Caenorhabditis elegans: one gene and its partner. The protein of the gene in region 2 interacts with the protein of the main gene of each other region in a pairwise test. Each region holds a gene or a part of one and is shown on either strand. Other genes may lie near its edges.

Region 1 (7,127 bases), on a different chromosome or scaffold from region 2:
AGAAAGAAAGAGACCTCTGGATTTTTAATTTTAAAAATTCAAATTCTCATAATAGACAGCATTTGTTTTTTTGTGAAGTTTTTTCCCAACAAAAGATGTACGCGGAACGTTTTCACAAATTGACATTGTTTTGTTTTCCCTAAAACCATTAACTTCCGACATGTCTCTGTTGGCTTTTCTTCTAGTCACCATCAAGACGACATAACATTTCAATGTATAAAATGGAATTAACAAATTTTATTGAAACTTCAATTTTCTCTTGTAGTTTTGTATCAAAGTGCCTAACTTTGTTTCAAAAAATTTCCACACTAACATTCAATCAAAGGTATTTTTAAACTTCGAGCTAGAAGTTTGTATTTTTGTTTCAAAATACATCATCTTACTTTATTCTTTTCTAGTTGCAAAATCCTAAAGTTCAAATGATGCATAATTGAGTGTATGCTTGTTCAGTTTTGCTGCATATTACCAAAACTAATTATGCTTCTGATTGTTTTAAGGTTACAACACTTTGAATTTGCGTCAATTGTTTTACAATTCTTTATATAGATTTTTAATTGAGTTAAAAATCACCGACTTCCGTTTTAAAATGCCCCTATTCTTACAAAAATTTTAAATTGAATTATCCGCACAATTTATTGTGTGCCATGCCTGTTTATATTACCAAACTGTCATATTTTCTTATGCACTGTAATTTTAACAATGTAAAGTTTTTCACTCGACGTACTATTTTTTTTTGAATTGCAGTAAATTTTGCAATATTTTTGTTTTTGAAAAACTGGCAACCTGAGGAAAACGGAACTGTTTTGTAACTTCAAAGAAGCAATTTTAGAAATTTGCAAAAGTCTGAATTCTAAAATTCTAGTTCAAATCCTTGTGATGTATAAATTATCCTGTCATCTTGGAGATTTTGGATAACATTTTGAATGTATCAAAATGTTAGAATCTGGTTTCTCGTGAAAAATTAAATTTCATTACATCTCAGAATGTTTCACGATTTTGATCTACATCTAATATATATAACAGGTAAACTTGTTCAAAAATTGATTTTATAATAGTTTATATTATGGGCAGCCCGTGAAGCTTGAAATGAGTAATTTAAAAAAATAAATCCGCTGCACGTTTAGCTTAATACTTGAAAAAAAGTTGAACAGTTCTATCTCATCAAATACATCTTTAATCTCTTTTTTTTTGACTTTTGCTTTGTTGCCATAAAGCTATTTCAAAATTGTACCATATGGCAAATGAATGCTTTTAAGGTTTGTTGTTGAACAAGAATATTCGTTAGCCCTCTTTTCGGAAATGTATGCGCTTACATATGATCTTTCAAAACTCCGCCTCTTTTCTGTCTGCGCCATAGCTTCTCTGTGCTCTCTTTTCTACAGTCAAATGTCTTATGCTCATTTTTTTTCAGTTGTGGATCTTGATGTCTCCTCCTTTCCGTTCTCTCGATTTTATTTTTTGCTATTCTTTGGAAAGGCGTCAATTTATTATAGGCAACGCGTGAGCTAAATTTTGAACTTTAGTATAAAAAAAGCGACGAAACAATGCGATACAAAAGCTTGTTCTCATTTACAAAACTGACATTTTACGTAGAGACTCAAGTCTTGGCAAAATTTTAATCACACGAAATTTTATAAAAGTCTGAAAAAAGCTGTGAATAATTTAGATAGCCTCGAACACATGCAGAAGTGTGCAAAACTGATAGAATGCTAATATAATGTTTGAAAATTTTTAACAGTGTGTACCTAGATTTAGTCACTAAAGTATGTGCTATGTTACAATTCTTCTATTTTTTTTTCATATATCCTTTTATTCACTGGTGGGCCATAAAAATATATCTCAGATTGATCATATTTAAATCTCAAACGATGGAAGCCAATTCTAACAGAATAAGCTTTGTGAACCCAACTCAGACCCCACAATACGGTTTAAATGAAGAATTCAAAGGAGATCCACAGTCAACGATTAAAAGTCCAGAAACGCGGGTATGTTTTTTTTCAATCTTTTGAGAGATATAAACTGTGCTTGTTTTAAAGTAAATGGAAAAAATATGAGACATGGTCTTGCGAGCATTTTTTGTTTTTGCCAGTTTAGTGGGGATGAATGTTTACCACTGTCCTTAATTTTGTGACAGATGTTCTTCCTCGTACCGCACCGGCACGAGCACTGGCCGGTGTTTTTTTTTCAAAATCTCCACTCACACTAAAACATGAATAACACCAGTTGCTTTTGTTGATTAATGCTCGATTTTCAAGTTATGCAAAAAAAAAAATTAAGGGACTTAATGAAAATGCGTGCAATGAAAATGAAAGAGTATTTTGCTGTGCTCACATGGAGATACAGAATATCATTGGTTCATCCTCACCCAAAAATTTAAAAATTTTTAATTTATAATATTTTGAGTGGATTTCCAGCTTCCTGCCAAGTATGAACGTTTTGCTCCACAGATGACTACATACTACACATTCCCTCCAGCGAACCCGGCGTTTTTCTCGCAACCGATGTATCCCCAAAGTTCGTGGATTCCGGAAACTCAAAATCCTTTAGTGTATTTTCAAGGTGCTCCCGTGGTGCAGGTAATTTAAACCAGATAATTATAAATTTAAATGTTGTTTCATGTTTGAATTCAGGATTATTCTACATTTTCATCAGCCCCATACCCATCTCAACCACCCAATAATTGGAATGTTCAGGTTCGGACTTTTATTGACACATTTCGAAATTAAAATGTTACAGAATTTTACAAGCTACCAATATGCAAACCAAAATCACCCAGCACAACTGCCACATCAAAAATACTACAATTCCGAGCAATATGCTTTACAAAGTCAGGTAAAAATCAGAATTTCAATTGAGAACAATTACGTGGCATTCCACATTTTTTAAACCTACCATAATCAGACCATGGACGGAAAATTTATTCAGCCATGTAATCAATACCAAATGAACAAGTTGTGTTGTGTATCTCCTCCTTATCAGTACCAACCAAGGACTCCAAATGCTCAAAGCTCGCCGAACCTGAAGGACCTGAATTATTTGGATGTAAGAAAGAAGTTTAATGTTTTACAATTAAATTGAATACGTTCAGTAAAAAAGTAGTGATTTTGGAAGTTATTGTAATAAAAAAAATAGGTCGGAATGAAAAATATAAAAGGTTGACTCAGAAAACTCGAAAGCTGATGCTCACTTAAAAAAAATCGGAATTTTCCTGCAATCGGCAATTTTGGCAATTGTCAGTTTTCAAATATTTTGGCAATTTTGGCGATTGTCGGTTTTCAAATATTTCGGCAATCGGGGATTCCGAAAATTGCCGAAATTGCTGATTGCCGGACATTTTCGGCAATTTTCAAACATAATTATAACTCAAAAAATGAAAAAAAAAATCACCTTGTTAGTATTTGGTTAGTCATTTTCTAATAGATAACGGCCAAAACTTTCAGGATTTAAACATTTTAAGCTTGAAAAGAAAACATCTTCTTTTAAATGCATGTTTAGACTCAAAAATTTACAAAACGTATTAAATTTATGTTCCCGGCAATTCTGGCTTCCGGCAATCGGTAATTCCGACAATTGCCGGTTTTCAACATTTTCGGCAATCGGCAATTGCGGCAATTGCCAAAACTGCCGAAATTGGCGAAAATTCGATTGCCAAACGACAATTGCCGCCACCTCTGTTTCAAATGTAATTTTGCCCTTTCCGTAAAAAAATAATCAATACGTTCATTGTTCATCTCTCCTTGAGATCGTAACAAAACTACCTAAGTGAAATATAATTTTATTTAAATTTTAACTAGTGTCAAAAAAAAAAATTTCATGAAAATCTTAATCATCTTTACAGCATTTGACTCCGTTTTTATTCCCACCGGACATTACTTCTCAATACAGAAAACATAATTGCCGAGGAAACAACCGTAACTCCAAGGTATCAATATTGATTTATTTCATTTTTGAATTGAGTTATTTAGACTAGCAATTTCCGGAGAAACGACAGGAAAAACCAACATGGCCATAACCAAAACCGTTCAAATCAAGTATCCAGACAGCATTTGCCAAACAATAATGCATCATCTTCATCCTCCTCATCAGGTGTCGTTTCCGAATTACCGCTGTCTCCTAACAAGACTGAGCTTAAAATTGTCATATCTCATGGAAATGAAACAGTTTGTGTTCTGAAAACAAAAGGTAACAAGAGTCCGATACAATTTTTTTCTGTTTTTAAATTCATCTCTCGTTCAGATATTGATGGATGCAACGCTCAACAACTTTCGAATGTTGTTGAAATTCCTATGGTACTTGCTCCCTCCCTCTCAATACAATCTACTGACTCGTTCAACTCGGCTTACGAAGATGCCGAAGAATCTTTAATTCAACCACAAACTAAAAAGAATGAAGGTGACGCTTATGGAAAATATAATTCAACGCTCACAAATTGTCAAACAAGGAACCAATCGGAGAAAATGAAATCATCGCAATGCTTGATCGCAGATGTCGCCGAGAATGAGAGCCCGAATGAGACAGGGCCTGCTGAATTCAATATTTTTTGTACTGTACCGGAACAATCTTCTAAACGCTCAGAGCCCGACGTTATAGTTTCTGCTGCAAAATCAGTTACTGAAGTTGAAAATACAATACTTGCTGAACATGATACCGCTACTGCTGAAAACTTTTCGAACAACGATGAACCAATTCTTCTTAGCGTTACTAATCTTCACGATGAAACAAATAACAAATCAATAGATGTATCACTGAATCACCCATTGCCACCTTCGACAGAAACTGGAGTTGTCAGCGGCAAAGTTTCACAATTGGAGGCACCAATCAGTACAATTGTGCAGGAAACGATCCGAATCCTCGCCGAGAGAAATCTACTCCGTGACATCAATGACTTTCATCAAGAAATACATTTGAATGTCATGCAAGAAAATATTGGACAGTCTCTAGATCATGCTGCAATAGAAAATGAGGAACATCCAGAAACTGAAAGTTCCTTTGAAAGTTCAAGCGGGTAAGTTTTTTTAAAATGAAATTTCTTACGAATATTATGATACTCCAGTAGTTCCAACCCTTCTGTCCCCATTGAGATTGATCAAAAAATGCAATTCAACAAAAACAATCCATGGGAAAAATTGGAACAATATACTCCGTGAGTTTACAATAAATATTAATTGAAAACAAATTATTATTTTTGACATTCATGAAATTCAATTTAAGTTCTGAGTTCAACCGCCATTGTCATTAAAATTTCAGACCTTCAATCATTATAGTCTCGTGCGCAGATTCTTCACAAAGCCCACACAAAGCTTCGTAAGTTGACAACGGAAGTATTTTTTATAATGCACATCATGTTTTAGAACTCTCAAAAACCCCGGTTACGGCTGCTGTTCGGGCATTGGCAAGAAATCAAAATACAATAAGAAAGTTGACAAGAAAGAGTGAGTTGAACTAATGTGAAGAATGGTAAACTTGCATACAAACCAGACTTTTAGTCCTGAAAACGATGTTACAAGAATAACATAGGCATAGCTGTTTCGGAGTAAACCCCGGCCCTGATACTGAATAGGAACTAAAAAAAATATTTTACTTATTCACTCATTTGTTACTGAATCATTAACACTTATTAAAAAACCACCTGATCATGAGAATGCATACCGTTCTGGCGCGCGAATATCTCGTAGCGAAGGCACCTAAATCTTACATTTTTGAATGATATCTCGTTGCCGCTTTTTTTTTTCAGAAAATAGGCATTCTCATGAATTCGTGGTTTTTTAATAATTAATCATTCAAATGTGGCGAAAACATCTTGATAGTTTTTTCCTTTTTTTCCTGGGCAGTTATGTTGTCTGTGTACTCTACAGGTTCACTTCTCTCTACAGGCTCACAGGCCATTCTCGAGGGAAAACCTGTCAAGATGTTGTAACGTAGAAATTGAATGTATCAACTATGTTGGTGTAATAACTACTAACTAGCATAGTTGGTACATCATCAATCTTTATGACGTTGGTCGGAAGGATTCATGGCACTACTGATTTGACGTGAAAGTGGATAACGGGACTGAAAATAAATTTTACAGAGTTCTCCACTTGACAAACTTTCAACTAAACTAAGCAACGGAGCTGTGCGTTTCATTCTATCTGTTTTTGTGTTTTTTAGCTCATTCTCATTTTCCTGTATTCTTCAATTACTTTGTTTGTATAATTTTCGTTTAGCAAAATTTGGAATCCCAGTTCGAAATCCGGCCACACAAATCTTCTCTTCAACATTATGTGTATTCAACAGCAACCTTTCCATGTTTTCTCTTGAATATCAACTTTTTACGGTCAAAGTTGATCAAAATAAAATGTATCTTCTTGTGGATTTTTTATGAGCCCGAGTAGACTGTTTGAAAAAAACCTGTTTATTCACATTTGAATTCCACAGAGATCAAAAATCAATTATTATTTGTGGATACTCCTTTTTCCGCATCATTCAATTCTTCAGCTCGTAATAATTCCGTTTTCTGCCTCCATCTTCTTGGCTTACATGCAATTCCAAGAGTTCGGACAGCGAAGAATAAAAACTCAATCACGCTCATAATGCTTGCGCCTGAAAAATTCACTTTTTGAATTGCGAGTTACTCAAATTGTTTAAAATCACCTAAAAACAAGCCAGCTTGGCCACCCATATCGGCCATCAAGTTGAACCAAGAATACGACTCAGATTCTCTCAATATCTCATAGCTCATTTGTTCATAATAAATTTCAATCATTGCGGCGTGTTCTCTGAAAATCGATTTTTTGTCATTAACTGTCAACTAATTTATTTGAGAATAAATGTATTTTAGAAACAAAACCATTTTTCAAGTTACATGTTATATCCAAAAATTCTTTAAAAAAATGTTTTCTGATATTTGCCGAGACATGATTATTATCAGGTTTTTACATAGAGTTTAAAACAGTGCAAACCTTAAATAAGAATTGCAATCTTTTGAATGATTGTCACACGATGTTTGTATACTTCCGCTCGGCCACTTTGCTGCTGAATACGTTGTTGTGTATTGATCTTGCTGGCATGGCTGAATACATTTGCAGTGCTTCTGATTTTCTTTTGTTGACAATTTGGCACCTTCTGTCGTGAGGCAGTTTACTGTA
Region 2 (5,027 bases):
TACTCAAATGGTTTTGGATACAATATCTGGCATCATTTACAATTGTTGATTACGTTTTTACCTCATGTACTTCGTATATGTTTAGAAATCGTGTATTTTATGTCAACGATGTTGTTCGTTAAGCTTTAATGAACAAACACATCAAATTGAACACAACAAGATGTAATTCATATAAATAACTCTAAAAGAGTCTTATGTTTCCAAAATATTTCTAGGCAACTTGGTTCAGAATCGGGCTGGCAGGCGGGTATTGCGTTCCCACCTCGCCGTGCGATGTAATCACAGAAGATCATCGCCCGAACTCATCATATTCAGTTGCAGATCAGAGATTGACCCATACTGAAGACTGGAGAAAGGGTGAAAGTGTGCTGAGGCAACAAAACGGCGCGGCCGACACTCTTCAGGTTCCGCCGTCAACTAAGTTTTGTGTGTGCCGCTAAACGAGAGTGCGTGTGAGACGAAGAGGCGCAGAATGAGGTATCTGTGCAGTGGAAAGGAACACCCTCTCTTTTTGACATTTCCGGCTACAATTGATGATTTTTTTCAAATATAATAACAAGTCCAAGTTTTAATAAATCATTCTTCATTCAAAATATGTTCTCATCTTATACAAGTTAAAAAGAAGTGAAGAAAACATCAGTATAAATGGTTGAAACACAATTTTACACATATCAGAAAAGTGAGCATCATTTGTGGAACTTGATAACTGATTAAAAATAAAATGCCAGCAGTTCGGGGAGTGGATTGGAACAGGGATCGTACCAGTATCGTCTGTGAGTGGAAAATTTTTTTGAAAAGCCTCAAATGTCCAGATAAACTCGTTGAAGACAGGAAAGGTTTTGCAAATTTTTCACAAAATCATAAATGAAAACTTTAAGAAAGAACTAAACATTAACAGGCAATATGAAGAGACCAGATCAATTGAAAGATTGAAAAATGTGATACACTCACATGAATCTAAACTTGTAATTGTTTTGTTTAAAAGATAAACTAATGTTTTCAGTAGACATTGAATAATTACAATAAAAATTAAGATATTTGAGGCATCCACGAGGAAAATGGCATTGTATTTTGTTGACGATCATTTTTCTCTTTCTGTGCCCGAAGTCTTGGATCTGATACGGCATTCCCTCCAGCGCCCAGCAATGAGCTGAAAGCATCAAACTGTTTGGCGATTGCTTTGGCTCTTCTTGGATCATTGGCAGCTATACGATCAGGGTTCTCAACATTTGAGTACGGAAGTCGCCTTTGAACACGAACTAGTCCCCAAGTGACTTGCACTGTTTGTGGTATGACTGCTACACGATTCGATGATCCAAACATGCTGGAATAGTTGGACGGAGGAGGCGAGGCTGGAGAATCGTCGACCACGTTGTTCCGAGGACTTGATATGAGCTTTTCGCCATTGGCCATCTTGTTAAGCATTGCCTGAAAAATAAATATTGTTAAATGAAAGCTTTCTCAATATTCTTACCTCTAAATTGAATCCTTGTGGTGATGCAGTATGTCGTTCTTGAGAGACTATTTGCGGTGGCTGAACTAATCCAGGCTGCTGAAGATGTGGATGTTGAATTGGAACTGGATGCATAGGCCTCATTAGTTGTGGTTGCTGTTGATGCATTATAGGAGGAGTTTGAGTACTCAGCCTAGGTGGCTCAATTGTTCGTGGCGGTGGAAGTCCTTGAACTTGTTCGGGCCGTGGCCCTTGATTGAAATATCCTCCAGCTGCTGGAGCAACAGGGTATTGCTGATGTATTGGAATTCCTGGTCCAGGGTTTCGTTGAATGGTTGGCACAACAACTGCTGGTGGTGGAAGTTGACTTGGATGAGATGCTTGAGGGATCGGAGCATGTATCACAGGCGTTGCGTGGGGTGGAGATGAACCATTCATATTAGGGCCTGAACATTTTTGAATAATTATTATGGAAAAGTGATTTCGATTTTCTGCTTACCTCCAGGGAGGAGAACTCTCCTTCTTGGCATTACTTGTGCAGCTGCAGCGGCAGCAGCAGCATTTGCCACTGGATTCTGTCTGTATGTTTGAGCCTGCTGCGCTTGATGAGCCTGCCGGGCTTCTTCGTCTGCTAGAATCTTCTCAATGATTGGTCGGGTATAGTCCGTCAGGGGAACGTGAGAAAATCTACATGGATCATGGTTGCATTGTCCTTTGTGGAAGGATTTGCATGGGAATTCTCCATGGAGCATAAGACATTGTAGACCCTGAACAAGAATTAGTATTTTAAAATGAAAAGTTGGTTTTTTTTTCTGAAACTAACCTTTTTACAAAAACTATTAGCATAAAAGTTGCACAGAACAGGCCGTCTCAGTGAATCTTCGGCTTGGTGAGAGTACAAACAATTGTCACCGTCTCTACAATAACCTTCTCGGAAAAACTTGCAGATCTGATGTTCTGTTTGAAATCTTGGCTTCGCTCCATTCCGGAAGCCACCCCGGAATCCTCCTCGTCCTCCATAGTATGGCCGTTTTGATCTCGGGTCAAAGTCTCCGTCGTCGTGGGAAGGGGATAAGCGTCTCCGCCGATTTACACGATAATCAGTATCACTGAATGGTTCTTCTTCTGACGAAGCTGCTGCTCCGCTACGATAGTCTTTATCTCCACCGAAATAATCTGAAAATTATTAAATTTCTCCTTTTCAGCACTCGAAAATTATTCCCATTTATTAATGCGTCAATAAAAAACAAGAGAGGTTACACTCTAAATTTCGTAGAATAAACAGTTGCCGGGATAATTATCGGATCGGATAAATTTAATTCACAAATCAGACGTTAGACTTTCAAAAAATTCAGAGAAACATTTACCATTTCCATCCGGAGCATCATTGTGAGATCCAAACGGATCCGGATCTCGCTCTCTCGGAGGACTATTCCCTTCAAACCGCCTGACTCGTTCTCGTGAATCCCGACCACTTGTTTTCTCAGGATGTGCTGGAGCAATATGAGCACCTGGAGCTGATTCTGATGATTTGGAGGGCACTGCTTTTACAGATTCATCTTCATCATCACATATTTCACCGTCCTCAGGAAGTTCACCATCTTCGAAATCGTCTTTATTTTCATTTTGAGATATGATGTCCGTCATGATCTAGAATAATTGTAATGATTGGATTTATACCCGGTTTTACGGATTTTCATAATAAAAAGTTAAAGCGGTGTTCACTTCTCAAGCTCTAATAAAAAGCAAGAAAAGAAATAAAAAGATAATGAAAATTCATGTTTTCCTCCGTGATTCCCTTTTCCGGATCTTTGTGATTATTTACATATTTCAGTTCGTTCTCTCAATTTTCAAGTCACAGTTGCAGTGGGAGGAGCATTCTCATGTTGTCTACGATAGAAACGGCATGAGCGCCCATTGGTCGCGCAGACTCCGCCCATAATGTAGGAAATTTGAACAGAGTTTTGGGATGAATTTTTTCTCGAATTAAAAATCAACTATTTCGAAAAGCTTTAAAACATAAAAATGTATAGCTTCTTGGAATCTTGAACGTTGGAATTTCAGTCTAGAATGCTCAAATCTGGAACTCAAACAAACCGTCTTTTCATATCAATAACTTCAGTTTTTCAGTTGCTTTTAAATTCTTCGAACTATTTCAGATCAATGTTGATCTTTCAAACTCGTTAAAATTCAATTAACCAATTTTTCGTCATTTTTTCTCCAATTATGCTTAACTTTTTGTTACCATTTGGAAACTATTCTTGTATGTTAGAAAAAGGATTGATGATGACGAAAACCACAGAAAGAATGTATACAGCAAGCGCGTTGTCATACTGCTGCTATTCGCTCAAGTGACTATCGCAACCCGTCAAAATCGACCACGAGGGAGAAGGGAAGAGTGGAAAGAGAGGCCCCCGTCATTTCTCTCTCTCAGCGCAAACAACTCTACTAATCGGCAGCGTCTCTTCAGTTTACACACTCTAACATTGAATATCGATCAAGGGAAATGGGCTTACGAATACGAATTTCGTTACGAAACACGTTTTGGGCTAGGCGCGTTACAAGGAAAATAATATCTAAAGAAATTGAACGTAGCGTGGCAAATTTAACAAAAACTGGAAATAGCTAGACTAATTCACCTAAAATTAGCAAATTTTTTCGAAACAATCGAATTTGACACTAGATTAAATTTCCAACGTTCATTTTTCCGAGCGATTACCAGCTTTATTGAGCTTTGAATATTTATCAAATACCTCCAATTTTCAGAATATTTCAGAGTATAATTTCTTCAAATTCTCTTCACCTTCTCTGCAATTAATTTTCAAGGGATTGCACACGTTTTTCTGGCTTTTACATAAGCTTTCGCCCAGTCGGATCATTTAATTTTACTCCCATATTCTTTTTCGCCAAATTCACCTAAAATGTTTGTTAGAAGTTTGTGCCACAAAAAAGAAACAGAAAATGAGTATATGAATTCTCCGGAGTGCCGTCGTGGCGGACACCAGCATTAATGTTTTCGAAAATCACACGAGACGACTTGCAAGCGAAGCAAACCGCGCGTCTGAAGACCGTGACGCAGCCGCTCCGCAGTGTAAAACCAGTCAGAGACGCAGACATTGCTCTCATGTCCCGGTGGGACAGAGGAGTACGGTAACACTCGTTTCACGTGTGTTATTTTTACTTTATTTTTTTCCAAATTGCCAACTGTTCGATTTTTCAAGCTTCTGAACAATTTAAGAATAAATAAATCGAATCAGGGAAAATCGATTTTTACAGAAAATCACGACGGGTTAAGTCCATGAGTTTTCATGACGATTCACACATCTTATCACAGCTTGGAAGTGAGTTTCAAAATTGTTTGTTTACAAACGAAATAAATTATCTGAAATTATAGTTCTCGACTCACACGAACGGAGCCCAAAACGAGAAACAACCTCTTCAGTGGCGGAAAAAAAATTTGTGGATGTAAAACTAACAGCTTCAATGTCAGATGATGATGAGGACGATGACGAAGATTTGGTTTTTGATAGGGTATCACGTTTGTATCGAAAGCTTTTCCACAACGATAAATTGA

What was found.
Region 1: the proteins of T26A8.4 (region 2) and E02H4.2 interact in a two-hybrid assay, tested with the Caenorhabditis elegans proteins (one large-scale study listed by BioGRID).

The regions. Positions count from the first base shown.
Region 1 is NC_003284.9:14,276,341-14,283,467, reverse strand, and holds E02H4.2 (MIF4G domain-containing protein), read left to right. Parts: upstream 1-1,841; 5' UTR 1,842-1,868; coding exon 1,869-1,985; intron 1,986-2,414; coding exon 2,415-2,576; intron 2,577-2,630; coding exon 2,631-2,693; intron 2,694-2,736; coding exon 2,737-2,832; intron 2,833-2,925; coding exon 2,926-3,042; intron 3,043-3,838; coding exon 3,839-3,922; intron 3,923-3,965; coding exon 3,966-4,182; intron 4,183-4,236; coding exon 4,237-5,005; intron 5,006-5,053; coding exon 5,054-5,143; intron 5,144-5,247; coding exon 5,248-5,304; intron 5,305-5,351; coding exon 5,352-5,432; intron 5,433-6,070; coding exon 6,071-6,104; 3' UTR 6,105-6,346; downstream 6,347-7,127. Other genes in the region: Degenerin del-1, read right to left, coding at 6,428-6,582, 6,634-6,758, 6,942-7,122.
Region 2 is NC_003282.8:8,428,391-8,433,417, forward strand, and holds T26A8.4 (C3H1-type domain-containing protein), read right to left. Parts: upstream 3,104-5,027; 5' UTR 3,101-3,103; coding exon 2,821-3,100; intron 2,630-2,820; coding exon 2,277-2,629; intron 2,221-2,276; coding exon 1,953-2,220; intron 1,900-1,952; coding exon 1,475-1,899; intron 1,429-1,474; coding exon 1,030-1,428; 3' UTR 571-1,029; downstream 1-570. Other genes in the region: tmem-231 (Transmembrane protein 231), read left to right, coding at 1-122; pdtf-1 (Permeability-Determining Transcription Factor), read left to right, coding at 4,752-4,794, 4,848-4,984.